Linked DNA regions of Caenorhabditis elegans. The main gene of each other region encodes a partner of the protein of the gene in region 3 in a complex. Each region holds a gene or a part of one and is shown on either strand. Other genes may lie near its edges.

Evidence for each region.
Region 1: dpy-26 (region 3) and mix-1 share a complex: the UniProt entries of both Caenorhabditis elegans proteins name them as parts of the condensin I complex.
Region 2: dpy-26 (region 3) and dpy-28 share a complex: the UniProt entries of both Caenorhabditis elegans proteins name them as parts of the dosage compensation complex.
Region 4: dpy-26 (region 3) and dpy-27 share a complex: the UniProt entries of both Caenorhabditis elegans proteins name them as parts of the dosage compensation complex.

Annotation. Positions count from the first base shown.
Region 1 is NC_003280.10:10,822,288-10,827,272, forward strand, and holds the start of mix-1 (Mitotic chromosome and X-chromosome-associated protein mix-1), read left to right. Parts: upstream 1-1,958; 5' UTR 1,959-2,096; coding exon 2,097-2,190; intron 2,191-2,276; coding exon 2,277-2,360; intron 2,361-2,519; coding exon 2,520-3,451; intron 3,452-3,502; coding exon 3,503-3,654; intron 3,655-4,114; coding exon 4,115-4,220; intron 4,221-4,269; coding exon 4,270-4,409; intron 4,410-4,985. Other genes in the region: R06F6.12 (uncharacterized protein), read right to left, coding at 174-548, 722-828, 881-969, 1,015-1,457, 1,503-1,680, 1,731-1,792. UniProt on the Caenorhabditis elegans protein: Essential protein required for both chromosome condensation and segregation and X-chromosome dosage compensation depending on its binding partners.
Region 2 is NC_003281.10:10,761,188-10,766,130, reverse strand, and holds the start of dpy-28 (Condensin complex subunit 1), read right to left. Parts: upstream 3,001-4,943; 5' UTR 2,985-3,000; coding exon 2,857-2,984; intron 2,189-2,856; coding exon 1,971-2,188; intron 1,117-1,970; coding exon 842-1,116; intron 190-841; coding exon 1-189. Other genes in the region: tasp-1 (TASPase homolog), read right to left, coding at 3,325-3,529, 3,712-3,777, 4,445-4,668. UniProt on the Caenorhabditis elegans protein: Required for both chromosome condensation and segregation during mitosis and meiosis and X-chromosome dosage compensation depending on its binding partners.
Region 3 is NC_003282.8:12,445,316-12,453,349, forward strand, and holds dpy-26 (Condensin complex subunit dpy-26), read right to left. Parts: upstream 6,021-8,034; 5' UTR 5,976-6,020; coding exon 5,934-5,975; intron 5,885-5,933; coding exon 5,542-5,884; intron 5,487-5,541; coding exon 4,507-5,486; intron 4,454-4,506; coding exon 3,732-4,453; intron 3,274-3,731; coding exon 2,656-3,273; intron 2,611-2,655; coding exon 2,517-2,610; intron 2,029-2,516; coding exon 1,960-2,028; intron 1,911-1,959; coding exon 1,806-1,910; intron 1,758-1,805; coding exon 1,242-1,757; intron 1,190-1,241; coding exon 887-1,189; 3' UTR 570-886; downstream 1-569. Other genes in the region: C25G4.3 (Ribosome-binding factor A), read right to left, coding at 435-569; Transcription regulator spe-44, read right to left, coding at 6,970-7,400, 7,448-7,660, 7,958-8,034. UniProt on the Caenorhabditis elegans protein: Required for both chromosome condensation and segregation and for X-chromosome dosage compensation depending on its binding partners.
Region 4 is NC_003281.10:3,813,654-3,821,381, forward strand, and holds the start of dpy-27 (Chromosome condensation protein dpy-27), read right to left. Parts: upstream 6,027-7,728; 5' UTR 6,025-6,026; coding exon 5,599-6,024; intron 5,550-5,598; coding exon 5,448-5,549; intron 5,366-5,447; coding exon 5,007-5,365; intron 4,823-5,006; coding exon 4,067-4,822; intron 4,004-4,066; coding exon 3,766-4,003; intron 3,560-3,765; coding exon 3,351-3,559; intron 3,303-3,350; coding exon 2,852-3,302; intron 2,721-2,851; coding exon 2,283-2,720; intron 1,964-2,282; coding exon 1,686-1,963; intron 1,619-1,685; coding exon 1,270-1,618; intron 1,166-1,269; coding exon 625-1,165; intron 519-624; coding exon 256-518; 3' UTR 1-255. UniProt on the Caenorhabditis elegans protein: Central component of the condensin I-like dosage compensation complex that associates specifically with hermaphrodite X chromosomes to reduce their gene transcription throughout development.

The DNA.
Region 1 (4,985 bases), on a different chromosome or scaffold from region 3:
TTGTGCCCTCTTAAGTTTTACCTTTTTTGTAGATTTTTTATGTATCTAAAAAGAATTATGTGTATTTGATTGAACATGTGCAAAAACAAAATTAAATGATTAATTTACAACAATAGAATTTTAGCAACATATAAATAAATGAATCCATAAATTTCGAGTAAAAATGAAGAATATCAACTGCTTTGCTCATCAAGAACTATAATCTTCTCACGAGTACATGAATCACAAGCTGGTAGCCGAATAACAATGTACGATGGCTCCTTCTGGTAGACCTTCTTATCACAAATCGGGCAACAAAAGTTCGGAGTATGTACTAGATGTGGTCCGTCGACGACAGGAGCCAACTGATACGACTTTTTCAGAACTGGAGGGCACAGATCATCGTTGGCTGATCGCTTTTGAGCAGCATTTCGAACTGAAGCCATATCCGTCCTCCGGAGCAAGACGGGCGGAGCAACTTGTTGATACTCGTGATCACTTCGGTCTCGCTGGGGTACGAGCATCTGGTCGATGGTGGCGTACGCGAATTCTCCATTCATTAATTGGATCTGAAATTTCAAAGCTTTAAAAAATATACTTTATAGAAGTTTTATGAGCATTTTTCTTCGTTTTTTCTAGAAAAGCTCTGTTTTGATCCAAAAGTTGAAAATAATTACATTTTATCGGATCAAAACAGAGCTTATCTTGCCTAATTAAACAGAAAAAGTAAAGAGTTTCTCACCTTGTACTCCGAATCGCCTCGAACATATTTGACAACCGCATCTTGAAGACGACCATCAGCTGTCCGAATTTGAACGGTTTCTCCAATTATTGGGCTTCTTGTAGATTCTAAAATAATTTGGATAATTAAAATTAGTTCAAATAAGCTTCTGAAACTCACTTCCAGCTTCCAACTGTTCATGATGATGATGGTGATAACTTGTTGATGGAGCCTGATCGTTGTATGCAGAATCTTGAGCTTTTTCTTTTCTAAAAATAATAAAAATATAGTTAAAATTCTACGTGTTGACCTACATGGGCGGTAGAGCAAGTTGCACAAGTTGATGGACATTTTCAGTGCTTAAATTGTTTAAATCAATGTTCAAATTGGCGATTTCGGAGGGGGAAACATAGAATTGCTTCTGTTTTGATGTAATATTGACTCCACCATCATTTGTCAGAATAATATGCATTGCATTATCGATTATCTGACCATTCCCATCATATTCTTCCTCCGGCCCATTTCCATCACCTTCAAATTGATTTTCAATCATTTCGTGATGAACCATGTGATGATGTGAACCATCTTCTATGACAACTTCTTCATTGTGCTCTTGCTCGTTTTGTTTCGCCTGTCGTTGTTGACTAATCGCCACCACAATGTTCAGCTGCTCTTCGGTGAGATGATTAAGCTCAAAGCCTGCTTCTACATCGAAACCCGCTTCGTACATGTCTTCCTGCGTGATTTGAACCATATTCTGAAATATAAATATTCTTTCAATTCATCGAAAAGCTTGAAATACCATAAACTGTTGATCACCATCCTCCACAATCATATCTCCTTGTTCAAGATCTTCCGGCTGCTGCTGCTGCTGCTCAACAATTTCTTCTTCATGCTTAGCACTTTCAACTCGAAGTGGGGCCTGATCCTCGTGGAAAATATGATCTTCATCGGCAGGATATACACCTTCTGGGGAGGATCTGGAAATTCCATTTATTAATTTGAAAGAAAATGTGATTTTTATTCTTACCCAGGAATTTCTTCTTCACGGCCTGTTGTTGGGCTAGCAGGATTTTCTTTTTCGGAATCCATATCTGCAACGATTTTCGTTGTTTAATAAAAATTAAAAAATAAAAATTAATAAATGACTCTAAATTATAGCGAAGGAGAAAAAACAAAGGAGAAAAAAATTACAAAAATCACAAGGCAACTTTTGCGCGTCAAATCTCATACATTCCAGTCCGCAAACACTCTCACGCCACTCTGCACACTTCTCAAAAGACGCGCCAAAAAACATTCAAAGCTCATTCGGCTTTCGAAATAAACATTTTCTCAAACTCGTTATCGACTTATAACTTATTTTTGTTCAAAATCAATTCGACAGGGTGCGCTCATAATGCACATTAAATCCATCCATCTGGATGGCTTTAAATCGTACCAAAAGCACACCGATATTCTCGATTTTTCGCCGACTTTCAACGCAATCACCGGTGAGTATAGTTTTGTGCTGAAAACTAATAGTTTGAAAAACTTTAATTTCAGCATAAAATATAGTATAATAATTGTTTTATTTCAGGATACAATGGTAGTGGAAAATCCAATATTCTCGATTCGATCTGCTTCATTATGGGAATCAATAAGCTCGATAATATCAGAGCAAGTATGTGGCTCTTTCTCATCACAAAATTATTTTGTTGTCATAGTGATACTTACGCGCTTTCGGACTGAAAAAGCACAAGATCAGAGTAGCATAATATTTCTAGCAAAGATTTTTTAAATTGAAATTTAGAAAAAAAAATTAAGTCAAATATCATTCCAGAATCAATGCACGAGCTGATTTCCCATGGTGGAACAAAAGCGATCGTCCAAGTTCGCTTCGACAACACTGATAAAAGATGCTCCCCGTTCGGAATGGAACATCTCGACGAGATCGTCGTTCAGAGAATCATCACAGCTCAAGCAACTGGAAAAGGATGTGCAACGAGTTACACACTGAATGGGCATGCGGCCACAAATGGAAAAATGCAAGATTTCTTCCGTGGCGTCGGTTTGAACGTGAATAATCCACATTTTCTCATCATGCAAGGTCGTATTACTACGGTGCTAAACATGAAGCCGGAGGAAATCCTCGGAATGGTTGAGGAAGCAGCTGGAACAAAGATGTATGATCAGAAGAAGAAAGACGCGGAGAAAACAATGTTTTTAAAAGATGCAAAACTCAAAGAAGTTGATAGAATCTTCCAATCAAGTATTGATCCGAGAATGGTAAAGTTCCGTGAAGACAGAAAGAATATGGTGGAAGTGACTCGTCTCAAGAAACTCAAAGAGAACTTTTCCCGAAAATACGAGGCGTTTCAATACTTTCAAACATGTGAAGCGGTGAAAAAAAGTGCAAAAGAGATTGAAGATGCCAAAAAGGGAATTGAAGATCTCGGTGAAAAGTTTAATCAGCTTGATCTTGACTTGAAGAATAAGGAAGATGAGAAGAAAAAGATGGAAGAATCTCGAGATGATCAACATGAAGAGGCTGCACTTTCAGCGGCTCATCTTTCGAAACAATCTATAATGCTTCAGAAGGAGACTGTCAAAAATCAATTGGTTGAAACAATCAATAAACTCAAAAAGGAAGGTGAACAAATCAACAAAAGCTTGTCAAAAGATCGTGAAGTTCTCGACGCAAAACGAAAAGAACACGAAGATTCAAAGGCGGCTAACTCGAAAGATATTCAAAGTCAATCTGATGATGAAGCTGTAAGTTCGAGAAATTATTCTAAAAATAAAGTTAAAAAAAAACAATTTCAGCTCGTCACAAAATACCGTAATGACCTCGAATCCCTAACGAGAGGAACAATTGCTAATGACAAAGGAGAACATGTGTCGATTGAGAGTGAAATACAGTCTTGCAAGTCGACTGCGTCTCAAATGTCATCTGGGATTACTGCTGCGAAGAAACGGTAACTTTCCTGAGAATTGGAACAAAAAATCTAATTTTGTTTATGTCGATAAGAATAATGACAAAAATTTTGAGATATTTTAAGAAAAATCGAAAAACAAAAAGTTTCGTTTTTTCGCTTTTTGAAAACGTCAATGATAGTTTTTTTGCGGATACTTTCAATGAAATTATTCTGTCGTTTTCTCTTCAGTTTTCTGTTTAAAAAATTTTAAACCAGTTTTATACTATTTTTACATTGAAAACTGGTTTTAAACAATTTTTAAACAGAAAAATTAACATAAAACGATAAAAAATTGACTACAAACGATGTAATTTCATTGAAAAATTGCAAAAATTGAAAGAAAACACAACATCGAAAAAATAATGCATTAATTTGGAAATTCAGTAAATTTAATGGGACAAAAGAAGAAATGTACTTTTTTAAATAGGAATATCATTGAAAAATTGGCAATTTATTTCAGCGGTGAACGTCTACACAACCAAATTAAACATTTGGAAGGCGAAAAAGCTACTCTCTCAGCCAGAAGTAAATCTGACATTGGAAGTGCCGATAATTATCAAAAAGAGGTATCAGATATTTCAATTTTTTTTTCTCCGAAAACTTAAAAATATTCAGGTCGATGAGATCAATAAGCAACTTCAATTATTGGGTTTCAATATAGATGCTGATACGGAGAAACGAGAACACGCTGCAAAATTGCATGAGAGCATCACTAAGCTCAAGGATATGGATACGAGACTTCTGAATTCATACAAGTAAGGTTTTGTGTGAAAATTCATTTTAAAAGAGTTATACCGTTTCAAAATTTAAAAAAAAAAACCTATTTTCATAATAAAACCCGAATTTTGTCAATTTTTCAGTATCGCAGCGAGCGGAACTTGGTTTTTATTCAATTATCGCCTTTTTATTGCATATTTAAATATGAAAAAAAAAAAACATATATTTTTGTAGTATATTATGCGTTTTTTTTTCGTGAATTCAGGTGCATTTTCTGCACATTTTTGGTGAAATCGACCGAAAAGCCATCAACATTAACGAAAAAACGTGCAATAAAGAGTGATAATTTACTACGAACCAAGTTCCGGCCGTTATGACACTGAAAAGTTGGTAAAATTCGAGATATTAGCTTTAAAAAATAGTTTTCTTTCGGAATTTTGAGAAAACTTTTTTTAATTTTAAAACAGTTGTTTTTCAAAAATTAATGCTTTTTTTCAGCTAAAATTTCAAATTTCGCGAATTTTTTTTCGAGAGTTTCGGCATAATCAACTGAAAAAGCACCAAAATTTAGGAAAATTGCGTGATAAACTATCACAATATGCAATAAATTGTGG
Region 2 (4,943 bases), on a different chromosome or scaffold from region 3:
AATCCATTGTTGACTGGAACGAGCCATATTCTCGGGATCTTCAAGCAATTGGACAACTGTGTCAAGGAAGCGAAGCAAAAAGTCCTTTTCCATGACATCCGGCGCAAAAACGTATTGAATCGCCTTTTTCTTGGTTCCGGCAACGGTGTCGACACGAAGTTCAAGTAATTCCAGCAGGCAGTTGATCATCTGAATTTTGAAAATTTTGCAAATAATATTTTTAAAATGGATTAACAAATCTGATTATATTATATTGATATTAAAATCCAAAAAAAAATCCTTTCAGCAGAAAAAACTATATGAAATTTTTTTTTAAATATTTATGGCATTAAATATAGAAATATTCAGAGTTTGGAGCTTTTTTCTAGAAACTAAATAATAATTTCAAAAACTCAATTTTTTAGATGGAAGAGCTCTTTTCTATACAGATTTCGGGGGGCTTTGACCAGAAAACACGAAATTTTATATATTTATATTTCCCAGATGCGATATTTTGCGAAATTTTCACTAAACGGGTCTTGGCACGACCGATTTTATAGTAAAAGGACGTGAGCCTTTAAGGATTACAGTAGTTGTTTTTTTTTTCGATTTTTTTCAAAATGAAATCGGAAAATCGAAAATTTGGGAGTTAAAAAAATCTGAGTTTTCTTTTTTTTTTAAGAAGAAAATTGATTTTTTTATTTATTTTACAAACTTTTTTTTTCGATTTTGGATTTTCTATTATCTCTGAAAAACCTAAAATTTCTCGAAGACACATGAATTTTTGCGTTTTTTTTTAATGTTTTTTCTTCTAAAAAATCTATAAATTTACAATTTATTTTTCCTGGAAAACTATAATTACCCGATGTCTCTGAATATCCTTCCACTTGACAATATCATCATCTAAATCAACTTGACGACCACCTCTTCCAGTACCACGTTTCGCCTGTTGATTGGCTGATGCTATCGATTTTGATACGTATAATTGAAGTTGAACAGTCAATCGTTGAGTAAGAATTACAAACATACTGACTGCATGCACCAATTCCACATCGACACTATGATCTTCTCCAGATTCATTTTTTTCGAAATAATCGGCCACGTAGTCGCTTACAGAGTCTTTTAGAGCTCCGGAACCTGCAAAATTTTGCGGGGTTTTGAAGTGGAAAATATATTATCTGCATTTGAAAATAATTATTATTTTTTTTTAATTCGACTTTGAACAACTAAAAACAGCGAAAAAAATTGTCTGAAAGTTGAAAATGACCGGAAAAAATCAGGCAAATCCGGCAGTTTTCAACTGTTTATCTTTGAAATTTTTAGACAATTGCCGCTTTTAAAGGTCCTATATTTTTTGAGAATTTTCTGATTTTTTTATTATTTTTTCCAACAAAAAAAACCGAAAAATAGTTTTTTGAAACAAAAATTTTCAATTCTTCTGTCGAAAAATTGAGAAAATTGTCTAAAACAATAAAAGTAATGTTTTCTATGAAAAATCAAAGTTTTTCAAAGATTTTCTCCGAAAAAAAACAATTTTTCAGCGAAAATTTTTGAATTTTTCGAAAATCGGAGGAAAAACAGGAGGAAATTTACTTTTTAAAAAAATTTCTAGAAGCTTTTTAAAAATTGAGGTATTTTTCAACTAAATATGCATGTACAAATTTCTAGGTTTTTCAATTTTCAATTTTTTTTCGAAATTTTTAAACATTTTACTTTTTTTTTGAAATTTTTTATTTTTTCCAACAAAAAAAAACCGAAAAATCTTTTTTTTCTAATCAAAATTTTTCAATTTTTTGGTCTGAGAAAAATTGAGAAAACTGTCGATTTTTCTGCTTTTTCAGGAAATTATCAATGAGTTTTGGGCACTTTTTTCCTCTTAAAATATAGCAAATTTGAACTTTTTCGTGGTTTTTTAAATTAAAAAAAATTCTCTTCAAAATCGGGTTTTAGAGCAATATTTTATACTTCCAAAATTCCACCAAAAAACGCACAAGAAACGAGATAATCGACGACTTTGAATCGATTTTCCCAATTCTCATAAGTAGAAGCTCGCCGTGAAAGTGAGCTCAACGATGGAAAGAACTTTGGAATTCCTCTCCAATCAGAAATATCCGAATATGAAGAGAAACTGTCGATATCCTTATCGATTTGTTCGGATGGAATATTATTGTCAGCTTCGGCGATGATTTCCGTGATACTTTTGAAGCCACTGAAAAAAAAAATTTGAAAATTTAGAGTTTTTGACAGGAAAAAAACAGCCTTTTTCTCGGTTTTTCAGGAGAAATTTGAAGAAATTTGTGATTTTTTTTTCATATTTTGTTTTAAAAAATTCCGATTTACTTCTGCATTTTCTGTGGAAATTTAAAAAAATTATTTTTGATTGAGGAAAAATGGAAAAAAAACTGATTTTTCGGTTTTTGAAATGAATTTCAAAAAAAAAAACGGAAAAATCCATGGTTTTTCTTTTTTTTCTAGAAAACGGTGCATATTTATTAAACTTCACAGGAAAAATTCTTTATTTTACTTTTTTTTCTAGAAAATTCCATAAAAGGTTCTGTAAAAAATTATATATTAGTTTTAAATGAAATTAAATGAAAATTATGGGTTTTTCAGTGAAGAAAGCATCGAAATTATTGCAATTTGCAGAGAAATTTCAGTAAAAATTGAGAAAAATATATCTAAATCTGGAGTTTAATTGAAATTTTTGAAATTTGATATTAAATTTTTTTTTTTGAAATTATCGGAAAAAATTAAGTTTTTTATCGAATTTTAAACTGATTTTTTTAGTTTTTTATGTGAAAATTGTGCACGAAATCTGATTTTTCTCACGAAAAAAAAAACTGAAAAATCTATAATTTTCCAACTGAAATTCTCAACCTCAATCCATCATTATTCCGTGTCGGCTGCTGCTGCTGTTGCTGGCTCGTCGAGCCAAAATCCATATCCTCATCTTCATCTGAAGTCGGTGGTGACGGTGTAGTGACAACGCGTTGTTTTCTCGGCATTTGTTAGGGGAAAAGCCTGTAGAAGGGGGAAATTAGTTTTTAAAAAATAATAACAAATCAGTGATATTTCTAAGCGAGCAAGTGAGCACTAGAATAAATTCAATAAAAGAAAAAACAATTAAAAGTTTAAAAATTAAAATATTTACAAAATTCTTCATTTCATTTTAATTTCAAATCATAAAATATTCTTCAGCGGAGGATTGAGAGAGAAATCGGATGGAGTGGGGGAGTTGTTTTGTATATTTCCGCATTCAAACCCCGGAAAATTCCGAAAAAAAAACACAATTTCCAGATTTTTCTAAGTTTTAAACGCGGAATTCTTGATATCATATACATATTATTACATGATGAATGACTCGATAACACATTTAGGATCAGTAGTACATTGATCCGGATCGAATTGTGATTCAAAAACACGAATCTGATTGTCTCGACAACGAACTGCAGCCGGAAGATATCGACAATTATGGAAAATCAGAAATTCCAGCGACATTCGATCTTTGAATTTGTCGGCGATCAATGCGATGCCACCGTATCGGGATCCACTGCAAAAAAAATCAATTTTTCGATTTTTCGAAAAATATATATATAAAGCTTTATTATGTTTTTTCATCAACAGATACAAAATTTTATGAAAAATTTCATTTTTTTCGAACTTTCGATGTTCAATTTTTCAATTATTTAAATATAAATATGCTGCTCTGAATGGAATAATAAATCTACTTACTGTTCCATTTTTTCGTGTATGAATTCTCGAATAATCTCACTGTACATGATACCCTCCTCGTCGTCTCTGAAAGAAACAAAATTGATGCGTTGTTGTTATGGTAACTAGGGTCTCGCAGCGATTTATCTCTTTTTTTTTAGTCGTAAAATCTTTTTTAATATTAAATTTTCTTTTTTTTACAATTTTTAAAGCTATTTGTAAGGGAAATAATTTAAAAATTGTTAATTTATCAATTGTTTGCCGATTTTAAGAGAAAAAAGTTTAGAAACAGTCAAAAATTACATTTTTGTGCTACATTTTCAAGAAAAACGGTAAAAAACTTGGATTTGCAGTTTGTTTCAGATCACAAATATATGAAAATCTCGAATTTTGAGCTATTTTTTGCAGAAAATAGATAGGAAATTGTGGATTTTTGTGCTAATTTTGAGAGAAAATTGCCTTTGTAAAATTGTAATCGCTAAAAACGTCCCAATTTATGCAATTTCTACAGAAAATGGTCCTGAACGCGCAAAATCCCCGAATTTTAAGCAACTTTTTTAAAAAGAAAACTGGTCAGAATTTCCAAAAATTATAGATTTTTGTGCTAATTGTTCGAAAAAAGATTCAAAAATCATCAAAATTGTGGATTTTCATGCTGATTTACATCTAAAACTGCTCAGTTTTAAGTTATTTCTACGGAAAATGATCCAGTGCGCGCAAAATCTCCAAATTTTCAATAATTTCCCAAACTTACAGCACTCTCGTGGCGATACCCCTGCAGAAATCGGCTTTCACAAGTGATTCACCGTGTCCTGTCGAACAAATCGAGATGGTTCGTTCACTGACTTGATCAAATGGTTCTTCGTATTGCCTTCGTTCAGACCATGTTCCACTTCCATATACACAGCTGTGACCAAGCCGTCCCGAGTGTTTTAGCACAATTCCACCGCTTGAAGTACCGGATTCTGAGTTCATTGTCTGCAAAAAAGACATTTTTCGTGGCGAAAATTGGAAAAATACGAAATTTTGATAGAATTCAGGGGGAAAAACTTTTGAAAATCGATTTTTTTTTTGCAAACCAAATTGGCATTTTACTGAAAAGTGGTAATTTTTTATTTGAAAACCGTTTTTTTTTTTCAGAGAAATTTAGACCCAAAACCGGCTAAAATAGAGGAAATTCGAGATTTTTATAGAATTTTGCCAAAATGGAGTTGACAATCTGGTTTTTTAAACTCGTATTTCGATCGAAATAG
Region 3 (8,034 bases):
TTTTCGCCTCTAGAAAATTTCGAAAAAAATTGAATTCCGAAAAAGCAGCCTACATTTTAAAATCTTTTTCGTTATAGAAGAAAACTTAACGGTTTCTTGTAATTTTTCTCAAAAAAAAACACAAAATTTGATAAAAATGTTGACATTTTTTGTTAATTTAAATTGACAAAAAATTAATTTTCGATTTCTAATTTTTTTCCCGAAAAATCAAAAATGTTTTCAATTTATTTATCATTGATTTTCTAAAGTTTTTCTCTCATTTCGTTGAGCTCGCGGTTACGGTACCCTTTAAAGGCGCAGACCCTTTCGCATTTAGACAAAAATTGTCGTTTCGAGACCGGGTACTGTATTTTTTGCGCGAAAATCGCAAAATTTCGCGCCTGGGTAATAAACGAAAGTTGAATTTATATTTTTCAATCTAATTTCCAAAGAACCTTATCATATCTCCACTCGAATCTTGAAAGAACCGAATTTCCACATCCACGTCCCGTTTTTCGATTCACATAATTTCTGGGTCCCTTCAGAGCCGCCGTGCTAGTGGTAATCCATCGGATCCCGTTTCTATACATCTGAATTCGTAATTTTTATGGAATCAGTGAATGCTTTTTCGGAAGAATCAGAAAGGGTCTTTGTATCCCTAGAATTCTACAAGTTTTATGGCTCGAATATCATATTGAATATTCATTGTAAAGAGTGATTTGACAGAAAACTTAAAATTTTTGGTGTCGGGGTACTCAATTCAGAGAGAGAAAAATAAATAAAGAAACTTCGAGTTTCGAGAAATGAGAGATAAAATGAATAAATACATCGAATTGGGTGGATTCTGAGATTCAATTTTGATACCGAAAATAAATGATTTTTTATGGAGAAATTTAATAAAGTATGCTTATTCTTCCATTTCTTCTTCTTCTACGATTGCTCCGAGATCACTTGTTGTAGGTTGACCACCTGCTCCACGACCTTTACGAACTGGTACTGCCTTCGGACGTCGCATCAAATTCGAGAACACATTATTCGCATCGCTAGCCGTACCCTCGATGGCGTCCGGATCTTGAGTTCGTTTCCAGAACTCGTCTTGATCCTCGATTCTTCCCATTTTCAGACCACGTGGTAGGCTTTCACTTGAATTGAGAACAATGAAATCAGACATCCAGGATCGCTTTGATCGATCTTGAACAATTTGCAAGTTCTGAAAATTTAGAATGAGTTTGAAAAAATAAACTCAAAAAAACTAAACATACATTTTCATTGGCAATATGCAATAGGAAGCTGACGATAGACGAGGGCCTAACAGTCTCTCCCATTCTGGAAGGCATTGAAAGTGCCAACGAAAGAAGTGTATGGCATCCATTTATATGCACTTTTCTATTTTCAGTGTTAGCAGTTCCATATGTAGATGTAGTTGGTTGATTATTGGGACGCTCATCTGCTGCTTGATAATCTGGCATCTCTGTTAGTGCCTTCATCGTTTCGTTCACATCGTGATTCGATTTGTTCGGTGATCTATAGTCAAACACTGACGTCAACGTTTTGTCGGCCTCCATTGTCGGTGTTGCAGGTCTTCCGGTTTCATTACGATCATCGGCAGCTCGGATAGTTGTATTATTCATTCGTAGAGTCTGATTAGATGTCAACTGCTCCAGAACATATTGAATTGAAGGCATCGATAGACTATCAGTCTTCAGAATTTCAGCGAGACACTTCTTGTGCTTGGCGGCGTCAAGATTCTTTGCCTGGATCGACTGGCGATCGAATGACTGAAAATTATACAAACTTTTTTAATATAAATTTTTTGTTAAACTTACATCGTCAAATTCATCATCTGAATCTCCGTATTCACCACCGTATCGTTTGGAATGGATATTCGGGAACATTTGATTAATGTGACTTGCGGTCAAGGCTAGTTTCCTCTGAAAATGTTCAATGAGCACTGGAAAAAATATTCCGTCTTAATTTTACCTGCATATCCGGACCCATTTGTGCAGCAGCGAGTTGTTGTTCATAGTTTGGATCGTATCTGTCTTCGTCCTGTAATTAGATGCCGAATTATTTTGTAGTTTTCTCTCCGAAAATACGGTATCAAGGTCTCGAAAAGACGCATTTTTTGCAAAATTTTTGTTGATTTTTCAATAAATAAAATTTATTTATTAAAATCTGTAAATACACTAAAAAGGAATTGTTTTCTCGTGCTTTATTTCAATTTTTAATTAAAAAATCTGTTTTATAGAAAAATCACCGAAAACATCGCATCAACGATAGTCTAAAACTACAGTACTCTTTAAAGGCGCACACTCGGCTTCATTATAAAAAATTGTCGTGTCGAGACCGGGTACTGTATTTTTTGTTCTAAAGTCGCAACATTTCGCGTCTGAGCTATTTAACGGTATCGATCGTCGAAAACTTTTGGACTTTTGAACGAGCTTTTTTTAACTGGAAAAATCAACAACGAAAATTTTTCGATTCTCGATTATTCAGAAAACCGACAGGAAAACCGGCAGGTCTTAACAGAAACGTACGTAATAATCGTTGGCAAAATCGTCATCAAACGGTTGCTCTACGGCAGTTCGTAGATTCTCGTCCGAGTCAGAGCCAGTGATAGGCTCCGGATTTCTGAAAAATTAACAATTTTATATATATTTAATCCTAGACACTCACTCCATGCACCTGAATCCACTGAATGAAAGTAGCCAATTGAGACAATCCGAATCCTTGTTTCCTCTGGCTTCATCAATGAACAAATCTTGCTCAGCCTTTTGATTTTTGACACGTTCGAGTCGTATTTTCCCATATGATTTCTTGAAGAACATCCCGCTGTTACCGAGAAGACCCATTTCAAAAGCGACATGCGGCTTGTTTTCAATTCCCAAAGTTGGAAGATATAACTGTTGTTCCGAAAGGAAAGTGCTCTTCTCATCAGCAATTTTAGAGCATTTTGCAGCAGTAATTTCTCGTTCAATCTCGTCATCAGGAATGTCACGGAAGTAATGAACGAAATCTTCGACAGTGGCTTTTCTGCTCTTCGCTTTCTTTTCTCGCCGTTTCCGTTGTGCTGTAACCGCTGCTTGTCTCTCTTGATCACCAACGACTGGTGGAACCCAATGAGCATTGTCGTTCTTTCCGATATTTTGAATCTCTTCACGCATTTCTGCAGATGGTCCAACAAGTTGTGGCGGTGGTGCAGAAGTCATCAACTCTGCAACTTCATCGGCTGCAAGTGCAATGTCCTCAAGCTCCCGTTGAACATCTTGCTCATTTCGTTCTTCTACTTCAGTTCTGAAATTGAAAAAAAATGTGGATAGTCTTTTCAAAAATGTTGAATCTAGCGTTTTTCAAAGGTAAAATTATAAAAAAGCAAAGAGTATCCAATTAATATTGCCGGAAACTCAAAATGTCGAAAATAGGGGAAGCGCGGGAATTCAGAAAAGATTTAACTTTTTTTGCAAAATTGTTGAAGAAATCTCAAAATAGTTGTGGTTATTCATTACTCATGTGATGTAGAAAATTTTTTAAAAAATGTATTTTTATACATTTTCCCCCCTATTCGTCTAGTTTTTGTATTTTTTTGCATTTTTCGACACTCATGAATAGGTGAGAATGGATAAAAATAAATTTTTGCATTTATCTACATTAAATGAATAACGGTTTTTTTTGCTATATTGAAACGTTCTTCTGTCATTATAGGCAACAAAAAACCGAACAGAATCAACTTTCAATTCAAAATTGAAACTTACTCATCCATCTGCTCATTAAAAAGAATATCAGCCACCCTTCCATCATTTCTATTATTATCTCCTTCCATTTCCTCAACTTCAACCGGAGCTGCAAGTCGATCATCAAAGTCTACATCAAAAGCAGCACCGCCGGCATCGTAATCCATTTCCTCAATAGGCTCCATATCAACATCTTGTTGTTGCACTTGTTCCCGTATTTCTTGTTGAATTTGTTCTAACGGAACATCATCTTCAGCTGTACTATCCTCACCAGACCACATTTTCATCACATCAGACACTTCATCATTCACTGTGAAGTCTGCTGGACGATCTCCAGGATAGTTATTCATATAATCATCCGATTTCACCAAGAACAAATTCTTTCCAATTTCCGGAACCATATTTCTATACGATTCTTGCTCGTCAATCGCATTTTCATCCAATTGAGAACGAGCTTCTCGATTTACATTCATTTTTACAACATCATAGTTGGTCCATGCATCAGTTGCCTTAATCCAACCTTCGATTCCAGCCTGACGTGGATGTTTCGTGTCATTCTTCATAATTGCCTCATCATCTTCACCCCATTCTTCTGCACGTATTCCATTTTTCCAGACTTTTGATTCAAGTGTATCAGATGTGTTGAACACTTCCAGCTTCTTATCAAACATGTTGGCTAATGTTTGATCCATTTCATTCGGCTCAATTGGCAGTTTTCCAATGAGATGCTCATCGAGATCATTCTGGAAAATAATTTATATCATAAATGTATTCAGAGGCGCGCAAAAAAACTTACAGCTTCAAGAGGTGGAAGAACATATTCGTCACTCGCTTTCTGTGACACAGACGACTGAAGAGGAGGTGTAAGCCTATCTAGAGCGATCGTCTCATCGTTTTCTCCCTGGGCGAGTGGTAATCCTTGATTTCCTGGAAGCATTGACATATCCGATGCTCCTGCCACCGTCATATCCAGATTTGAAGGCCGATGATTCATCTCTGCGAATGTCAAGTTGGCGAGATCTTTCTCACGAGACGATTCCGCCAATGGTAGCGTTGACTTCTTCACATCCTTTGACATTATTTTGTATCTCCCAATAACTGGGCGATCTTTGACTTCGAGCATCAAGTAGTTGTCGAGAATTCGTGGCTTTTTGTCTAATGAATTGGTGAGGAGAGCTCGTGTATTTTTTACAAGTGAGACAGACACATCGGACGTGAAAAACCGATCATCAGCATTCTTATCGGCAATTCGATTATGCAACATAAGAGTTCGTCCATCGGGAGAATGAATTCCATAATAATTAAGAGAATGGAACGAGTTTGATGAATTGCACACGGATCCTTTCGTTGCCTTTTGAAATGTCGGGTTAGCTCTCAGCCAATCGATATTTGCGTCTTTCAGATCATGAGCCGTATCATCAGCACTTATGTAATTGGAAACATCAGAGAGAAGGTCAGCTCTGAGATCAGTTGCTCGTTTGATTGACAATGCATAAATGAGTTTTTCGGGGAAAATGTCTCTTTGAAGAAATGCGTCAACATCTTTGGAATTGGCTTTGAAATCAATTCGTGGCTCTCCGGCAATATTTTCCTCATCTTCTTTCCAATTCTTATCATTGTCTGCGTCAAGTTCGGTGGTTGTCAGAGCATCATCCATATTATTGAGAAAATCGAGCATTCCATTCATTCCGTCAACAACAGCCATTTTCTTTTTAGCTTTTCTGCTTTCCAGTGTTAAATGAATTTCTTCACCATTTGAATCTCGCATAACAGTTCCTGTAATAAAAAGAAACGATAAATTCCAAGAATATTAAAAAAAAAATGTAATTACCACTCGAGAGAGCTGAATCAATTTGTCGAACGTCGTGGTGAAGCCGATCGACTCGATAACCAATAATGCACTGAGCTCCTTCGAGCACAACTGCCATCTCTTGGATTGAAGCTTTTGCTTTGATCATATCTTCGATTGTATGAATTTCAAGCGGCGATTTATATTCGAAACAGTTGAGCTCTCCAACTTTTTTCTTATTCACAATATCGTCGATATGGGCGCCAATTTTTGTCATAATTGTTTCTGGCACCACATCCGCTGGCCTAATTTTTTTAGTTCCTCGAACTTTACGCAATGGGGTAGATCTGAAGCCATCATCTTCGTCATCATCTAGAACTTGTCTCTGAAAACATTACGTTTTTGGTAGAAGCAGAACATTCTTCTTTTTTTACTTTTCTGCGTCCAGTGACGTTGCTGGATGATGGTACATCCATTTCCCTGTAATTAAAACACAATTTTAGATAATAGAAAGCAGGAGAAAATAAAATATATTCAAACAAGAAGCACAATTCAATTCAAAAGTCCTCGTTGCTAAACAAAGGGTCGAAGGGAGACCGGAGTTTCGTAATGATGTTTAGTCGTCTGCGACTCTTGTCTCTCGTTGTCAACGCGGGAACGAGGCAGTTCGCACACTGAGAATCCAAAGAGAATGTAAAAAATTCACAAATTGATTGAAATTGTTATGAAGTAAATATATATTTAAAAAGAAAGTTTTTCTGATGCCTTCGACCGATCGATAAAGCTACAGTTCAATTAAAGGGACACATACAGAAAATATCTGTTCGTGGCGAGACCCTACAGTAATAAAAATATTCGCGAATGAAGATTTATGCTTTTGTGCGAATTTAATTCTCAATTGTTTACTTATGAGCGGAGTATTATCTCTCTCAAGAACAAAATCCGCTAGCAGATGATTAGCACAAATTCTATTCATCTGAAAACCGATTGTGCCCTTCTGAAAGCTTGTTGTTTGCTCAATGATATATTTTCGTCTCTATCTCTTTGTTGCCATGACACTTTGATGAGTATTCGTGTGAAACTCATTTTTTGGAATCAAGTCGACGCAATCAATAATGTTGTTGATGAAGGCGTCTTAATTCCAAAAGAATGAGGTTGAAAATTGAATATAAAAAAAATAAACATAAATTAAAAGATATTCCAGTATTACGTTGTGACGAGTAAGAGTTTGTAAAACATGAATAGAAATTTCAAATGAACACGATTTCATTATAAAGGCATGAAACATTCTAGAAGAACTACAAACAATTTTCACCGGTATGTTGAGGGGGGAAAGCTCACAAGTAAGCAGTGGGCTATTCCACTGGATCAGAATTTAATTATATTCTATAAAACATGAAGTTCTAAAATACATACGAAAAAATGCACACACTATTTGTGCGTTTGTGGATTAAATCCGTAATTGTTTAATTATTGAATATGACTAGGTCCTGGAAGACATTCAGATTCTGGATAATCGTCGTACTTGCAAACATCAATAAGTTCCTCAACCTTCTCTTCTGTAAATTCTCGAGCAGTGTGAAGACTCTCTTGACTTGAAGATGATGTTCTCGGCTGATATTTGACACTGTGCTCCTCGGCCAAAGTTGATTGAATATCGTTAAACATTTCGTCATGTTTCCGCTGTTGGTAAGCGTTTCGTTCAATCGATTGAACACGATGAACAACGACAGGTGGAATTCCGAGAGCGAATGCAGTACGAGTGAGCATGTTGGCAGTGGTGGGAGTGACAGGATTATCCATAACGGATTGTTTCAGATTGATTGCACTGACAATGATGTCGTCGCAGAAATGACCGATAACACCGGTTTGTTGCATTTGAGACCAGAAATTCATAGGATCTGAAATAAAAATAAATTAGTGATAAATGTTATGTCAAATAGCTTACCGTTCTGCAGACAATTGAGAATATCATTGAATGGCGTGCACTCATTGGATTCCTTATTTGAAGAAGTTGGCTCTTCATTAGATGACATTGATTGCAGTGGTGGCGCATCAATGAAGAACTCCTCGAAGAAACGATCGTCTTGTGGCTCCATTTTGACCATTTGTCTGGGCTTGTTGACACTTCCACGTGGACGTCCACGAGCTTTTTTGGCGCCTGAAAAATGATATGTTTCCAGAATACTGGTAGTTATACAAAAGGAGCTAGTTTTAGAATGTTCTAGCAATATAGAATAATGTTTCCTTTATCTGAAAAAACTTATATTTAAGTTGGAATAGTTGAAAAGATGCTCACAAATCTCAAACTTTGAGACAATATTTGAGCACTTTTCCGATTGTTCCAACTAAAATATAAGTTATTTTTAGACATAACAAATATTATTCCTAAATTTTAATGAAAAATATTGAGAGAACATGTCAAAACTAGATCCTTTTGTAGAATTATCGGTCGTACTCTTTCTATTATCATCATTATCCGCCTCTTTTCCAGCCATCTCATTTTCGATCTCATATTTAAGTTGTCCGGCTTCA
Region 4 (7,728 bases), on a different chromosome or scaffold from region 3:
AAAATTTACCTTGTCAGCGAATTAAGAAAATGAGATAGATTGGACAGTACGTGATGCAAAGATATAGGGGTTTCACAAAATATACAACAAAATGGAAATATATTAAAAAGGGAAATAATTAAAATCACAAGGAAAAATTAAGCTAGACGAATATTAAAAAATACAAGCTTGAAAGAAAGTTGGTCTCATTTTTTGGATTTTTCACAAAGTTTTCTTTTTTTTTTCAAAATTTAGTTTAAAATATATTACTTCAATTTAATGTCTGCTTCTTCGCACACGGCGTTGAACGACAATTGGTGGTGGAGATGGAGTTGCTTCTTCGATCAATTCATCCTCTTCATCTTCCTCTTCAACTTGACGACGCGGACGTCTTCTTACTGGCTCATCGTCTTCATCTGAATCCTCAACACTTAATTCACGACGAGTTGCGGGTGGGAATCTATTAAATTCAGGAAGATCACTGTCATCATCGAGACCAAAGTCCGAGAGTTTCAGCATTTCCAGCCGGCGTTGTTTACCTGAAAATTGGTATTTGTTGAGATGGGTTTAAGTTGGACTGGTTGCTACTTTGATTTGGTATTTTACAATTAAAGTGCAGTTGATATGTCACTAATTATTACTTACGTTTTGGTGCAATAACGACATTGCTGAGCCCATTACTCAAATCAATTTCCGGTTCAATCTCGGCACGTCGTAGCTTCTCGCGCCGTTTGATCTCCTCCTCGAAAATCTTCAAAATCGGACGATTCTTGATCTCCACCGCGATCGGATCCACCATAATGTTATAAGTTTTTCCATCGATTTTATAGATACCAAGCAAGCGATTTCCGACCTCGAACATTTGATTTCGAAGCGAAATTATGATAAATTGAGCGTTCCGTGTTCGCTCGGAATGCTTGATATAGTTTGCAATCAGGCTGACATTGTTCAAGTCCAGTGCCGCATCGATTTCATCCATCACGTAGAGGGGTGTTGGACGGTAGTGGTGCATTGCAAAGACAAAGCATAAAGAGGCCAGAGTCTTCTCTCCGCCAGATAGATTCTCGATGAGCTTCCAGGATTTCTTGGCGGGACGTACACTGAACTTTATTCCACCATCGAAGGGATCGGTAGATTTTCCTTCTTCCACAAACTTCAAACTAGCATCTCCGCCATTGGTGATAAGCTGTAAGCAAATAACTTGTTTCTTTTAATCTCATTTAAAGCAATGGGTCTGACAGAAAAAATGCTTCCTGTCAGCCTGGTAGCAGGCAAGTACCCCTTACTCACCTGGTAAAGCATTTGGGTAGTAGTACCCAAGAATGCGAGCGCCTCGCTGAACTCGTTGAATCTCGCCATTCTCAACTCGTTGAGCTTCTCACGATGAGCCTTCAGCTTATCGCTAAACTTCTTCGCTGACGTCACCTCGTTCATGAGAAGCGACACAATCATCGCATAATCCCGAACACCTTTATTATCAAATTCCCGCCGGAACTTGTCAACATCTTTTTCCAGCTTGCAAATCTTGTTAGCAGTGTCCTCGAAAACATCGTCCTCAAGCATTCTCGCTTCGTGCTCTTCGTAAGCTTCACGGTGAGGTTCGATCATACTGATGCATTCATATGGGAGTACAACGTGCCTAAAAACTCAGTGATTATAAATTTGAATTTGCACATGGAAAATCTCCCAAAGCTTCTGAAACGTACCCATCAGTCATTTTGGCCGCAATATCTGGATCATTATATCTGACAAATTTGCCAGGTGGATAGAGCTTTTCCGGTTGCATCCATGCAGATTCAATAATATCAAGTTCTGCATTATCCGCCATTGTCTTGTTTTCCAAGTCATCAATGATTCTCATCAGTTCATCATAAGTCTGTTTGACCATGTTGTAGTTGTCAACTGTGGTTTGATAGGCTGCATCTGCTTCTCGGCGTGCCGCAACCGCTTCAGTGTACCTGGCTCTTTGTGCATCAATGCTGGCCTGGAAGATTAAAAATTAGAAAATAGTAAAGCTTGAATTGGTAAATTCTGAATAGCTCGAAAATGGCGAACTTCATAAGGAGACTGCTTAAAAAAGCGCAAAAATTGTTTGAATAGTGGTTTAAAATTTTGAAAAAAAATCGAAAATGTTTACTAGAACTAAGGGAGCAAGGTTGGAAACACCAAGCTAAAGCCTAAGCCTAAAAAAAGCCTAAGTTGGAGCTCAAGCCAGAACCTAAGCCTGGACCTAAGCTTGAACTGAAGTCGAAGCCTAAACATAAGCCTAACCAGAATCCTAGTCCTATAGAAATTAAACATACCGTTGAAGTTTGCAATTGCGCATTGATAATATCAATTCCCTTTACATCCTCTCCAACTTCCAATTGAGCCAATGCATCTGCCTCGCTACGTTTCTCCAGACACATATGCTCCAGCTCACTAAGCTTCTTCTCGGCCTGCTCCAAATGTGATGGATTGTTCTCAATAATTGCAGTTTGTCGTGCAATGTCCTGCTCCAGCTGTCCCATTCGATCCTTCGCCTGCTCAATTGAGTCCTTATTTTTTTGGACCAACTCCATAAACATTCGGTCCATTTTCCGTTTGTATTGCTCAATTTGCTGCTTGATTTTTGCTGAAGACTTTTGGCTCTCCTCCACTTGACGTTTCAGATCTGCAATTTGAGCTCTCTTCTCGTCCAAATCCTCAACGGTCACTTCTCTATAGTTAACCATACGGCGCTCATGTGCTGCGATTGAGCTCTGGAAATAATTAAAAAATTAGAATGGAAATTTTGAATAAAATCTAGTTTTTTTTTCGATATATCCATTTTCAAGAAAATCGGAACAGCGAAAATTTCTGTGTTTCAGTAAGAGACGCAAAAATAAATCACCTTTAACTCGGCAATCCGTGTTTTCTGCTCCTTGGTGGACATAATCAATTCACGCTTACGAATCTCGAGCTGTTTGATAATCGGACCATTGTCGGCTCGGATCTCTTCTTGCTTTAACTGCAACTTCAAATGAGCTTCCAGTGCGTGATTGTGCTTCTCCTGTGCGGCTCTTAGCTTGCTCAAATCAACTTTTTTGACTCCACTCATGTTTGGATTATTATCATTTCGAATACGACCAGTCGTCGGTTTTCCACCACCAGTCAATGCTCCACTTCGGTTCAAAATTGAGCCATTCAGTGTGCAATAACGATGCCTTCCAGGATACTTCTTATCAATTCGAGTTGCTTCTTCAAGACTGTCAACAACCAGAATGTCATGGATCAAGAAATAGAATTCGCGGCGAATCTCAGGGTTTACACAGTGAATCTTATCGAAAAGTCGTTCGGCTGGGCTGAAAATAAGAATTAATTAGATTTGGCAACTAAAGGCAACTACCAACAATTTCATTGTAGAATCCATTCCGCTAGTATCAGTATCTTTCAAGTGATCCAAGAAGACAAACGTCGTACGAGGAAGTTTGTACTCGTGGCAGAAGCCAATTCCGATTCTACATTCATCGCTAGTTTGCACAACGTGGTAATCCAATTGTGCAAAGAACACTGTTGAAATTGCGGTGTCGAACTTGATTGGGATACTTGCCAAATCTCCCTGTAAGACAATTAATTTTAAATTGGTCCTCGAAAAAAAATCAATTCGAAATCAGACTAAACGTGTGGCTTCTGAATTTGAAAGATCCTATTTAAAATGTATTTCTCCCAGAAAAATCATACTTACATGGAACATCAGATTACCCCAGGATGCTCACAGCTAATCAAATTTCAAAGCAGGTACTCACTCCCAATCGAATAACTTACCAAGCGACCTTTGAAGCCCGGAAATAATCCAGCCTCTTTCAGTTCATGAAGCTTTGCGGTTGCCTGATGACGGTACGTAACTTCCTGGGTGTTCGATGCTTCAATCACTTCTTGATCCAGCTCATACTTCTTGCTTCTCAAAAGTTGTTCGGTAGACTTCAAATGCGGAAGCTTCTCGACAGCTTTGTCAAACTTCAGCTTTCTATCTTGCAGCTCAGTTGTGACGGCGTTTAGCTCACTGGAAGGATATGGGGAATTTTTAAAAGCTGGTTAAAATAAAATAAAATAAAATAAAACTTACGTATTATCTCTAATGTTCTCAGCCATCATTGTTTGCAATGTCCCTTTAAGCTCATCAACTCTCTTCTGTCCCTGCTCCATCATTATCGTCATATCCTTAAGTTCTGATTCAGAAACGTCCAATTCTGCTTTTGCTCGCATCGATTGCAGAAGCTCATCTGAGAGTTTTTTCTCCAGATCATCATGCTTCGCTCTGTCGGCACTAGACTTCTGATCATACTTGATGAGATTCTCTGTAGCTGTCCGCTGACACACATTCTCCTGCTCCTTGAGCTGATCCCATTCGAGTTGCATGTTTTGCTTAGAGATTCTCGCATTCTCTGGAGCCGTCTCAATTTCAAACTTCTCCCGACGAGCTTCATCCCGCTCCTTCATGAGCTTCCCAAGGTCCTGAGTACACGACTTGAGCCCCTGCTTTCTCTTAGCATCACGTGCATGCCAGTCATTCTTCTTCGATTGCCAATCGATTCTTTTATTCTCCAGCTCAGTGACAATACTATTAAGGCTTCTCTCGTGAGTCTCCTTCTTCCGAACTTCATCCTTTGCCTCAAGCATGATATCCTTGTTCTCTTCGAGTTCTCCTGTTCGAGTGACAAGACTCATTTTGGCGTCCCTCATTGTTTCAGCATAACGGCACAAATTGTGCTTGACACGGATTCCACGAAGGTAGTTGAGATTATTGAAGGTATTCAGGTAGGCCATCCCGATAACCATTGCCTTTTCAAAGACTTTTAGGTGTCCCTCGTGGCGGCGAACACTGGAAATGGAAAGAATTTTAATTTGAAATTTTTTTAAGTTTCAGAAAATTAATATATTTCAAGTTGAAACCGCAAAGTTTTTTTGTTTTTTCCTAGTTCAATTTGAATTTCCATGCTTTATATTTTTATGTGGTACATCCGTGCCAAAATTTGTGGTATTTAATAATATTAAAATGAACTTACGAGGCTCCATATTGTGAACTTTTGTGCTCCAATAGAGAAACCCGATGCATTAGTTTGGAAATTGGTGCGACAAAACGATTGGTTCCAACAATATCCTCAATATATTCAAGCATTCCTTCTTCATTCGGATTTTTGGATGTTGGCTTCATTAGTGCAATCGCTTCAACTTCTCCTTGCAGAATCAGGAATCGATTATGGGTCATATCAATTCCAGCACGTAGGAGAAGCTCCTGGACGTCTTTTTGCGATGCATCTTTGTCATCAATACGATATTTTGAATTGTTTTCACGATTTATTGTGCGGGTGATGCAGACGCAATTATCTGTTAACACTTCATATTTATCGTAATTTTCGACAGGCTGAAAATTAATTTTGATATTGATAGTTATTAGTTTGTTTTCAATCGTGTGGATCTCAGGCCCGCTTTAATAACCTACTTACCATATCCTTCACCATCTGGAACATAATTGTTACTGAACATGATTCGTAGTTCCCTCCTGAATTGATCAATGCTGATAGCTTCTTGGTACGAATTTTTCCAGCCTGAAACAATGTATATTGTGGAATAAAAATTTCAATTTAAAAAACTCACTTTAAATCCAAACACGAATAGCAATGCATCAATAACGTTTGACTTTCCACTTCCATTTGGTCCCAGGATCATTGTCAAGTTCTTGTGAAACGGTCCGAGAATATGTTTTCCAGCATAACTTTTAAAGTTCTCAACGTAGATATTCAGAATTATCATTCGATTTCCATCCGGATCCGAGATCTGATCTTCATATTTTGGGGGAATTTGAACATTCAAAAGATCCTCTTTTTCATCATATTTCACACCGTTTTCAGCCGCTTCAAGTTCCAACATATACGCGCCTGAACTAACATCATCGAATATGTTGAGCTGTTCCATGTACTGTCGTCGGCGATCCACGTCGAGATCGACTTCAGGCATCGAGTCGGTGTCAGCATATGGTCTATCATCGTCCGAGGTTAGCGCCCGTCTTTTAAACGGCTGCATACCTGAAAAAAGGAATTAATTTTGATAAATATTAAAAGGGAGAGGGAGAGTAAGAGGTGCATAATTTTGCCAAAAAGGCAAAGCTTTGGAAATGTTTTGACAACTGGCAAACTTTCGACCCCTTCCAATCAAATTTTTTTGGTAATTATCAACTGACAAAATTTCTTTGAATGCCAATTGCCAACATTACCTAATCAAAAAATTTTGAAATATATATTTCATATTTAAAATTGAATCACACAGTTTACAAATTGATAACATTGAAAAAAGTCATCTAGAAATTTATTAATGTTATAGTATATTATATAGTTATCAGTATGATTTCACCTCAAATATTGAAAACTAAATTTTTAATGTTGGGGAAAAATTCAAATCGATAATTCAAACGAATTTTTTTTCCGGACTTTAGGAAAATCAGGGCACAGATAACATTGGAAACTATATATAAGTTTGTTAATTTTTTTAAGATTTAAGATTATGAAAGCTGCGCTAATTAATTTATTTGTCAAATTCAAAAAAAAAGTTAAGAAACGGTCACACACGAGCACACACCCATTTCATTGCGCGCGCGCAAGCGTATGTCTGTGTCTGTGTGTGCGAGCTGTTACTACTGCTGACCGAGTGTGGGGTTAGAGGCAGACGACGAAAGAGAACGAAGGTGAAAGTGGAAAAGAGCATGGAGAACGTGGAGACTGAGAGAAATGACAGACTCCGACTGCGGTCAAGACGATTCGGGTGAGAGAAAGAATAGTGGAATAAGAGACGGAGAGAATCCATAGCAATGGGTGGGTGGGTGATGAGCGGAATATTGTTGCGAAGAAGGTTGGGTGTACCAGACTAAGGAGCTGGAGAGATAAAGATTCTAATTATTTGAAAATTTGGCAAACGTTTCCCATTACTAGATGTACAAATCGATATGCTACAGATAGTCGATCAACGATCACGCTTTGGGAAAAGTATACGAGTTTTCAGCTGAAGAGGTCCCCAAAAAACCGAGAGGTTTTTATATGTATAATATTGAAAAAAAATCACTAGATTTTATTGATAAGAAGTAGTTTAACACGATGAGTGAAACTTGAAATTTTATATTAGATATGTATGTGAATCCAGATGGAAGCATGAAGGAAATGAGCCAAAAATTTTGTCAATTTATGTGTCTGTACGATCTCTATTGAACTTCGTCTATAATAGAACAAGTAGTTAAAGTCCTGATAGGCATTACTGTCTGCGATTACCCGTGTCTTGCTCCGTCAAATCCATTGCACCAGTTGATCCGGGCATCCTTAATGAAGAAGAGAATAGAAGAGAATTGAAGTCAGAAGACAAAAGTATAAAACTGACTAGTTTTAACAAGGTGTGAGAAACAAGAGACGGATGATTATTTTGTACTTCTCAGGTCGCCTAGGTAACAAGCACACTGGTACGGGCTGGCACGACTCCATCTTGTGATGGGTAGAAGAGGTGTGTGAGAGAAGAATATGAGCTGATCTCCTCTGTTGAGATGATAGATAAGCTTATAATTTGAGCAGTTAGTTGCGTGTAATTGAGGATTTCGTTTTTGATGTTGCAGCCAACAACGGGTCTTCTAATGGTGGGAAATGAGAGATCAAACAACGGATGGTCTTGTGAGCAAGAACATCTGCCAACATACGGTTCAGATGAGCATATTACAGAGTCACAAACCATGTAAACTTCTAGAAAGTC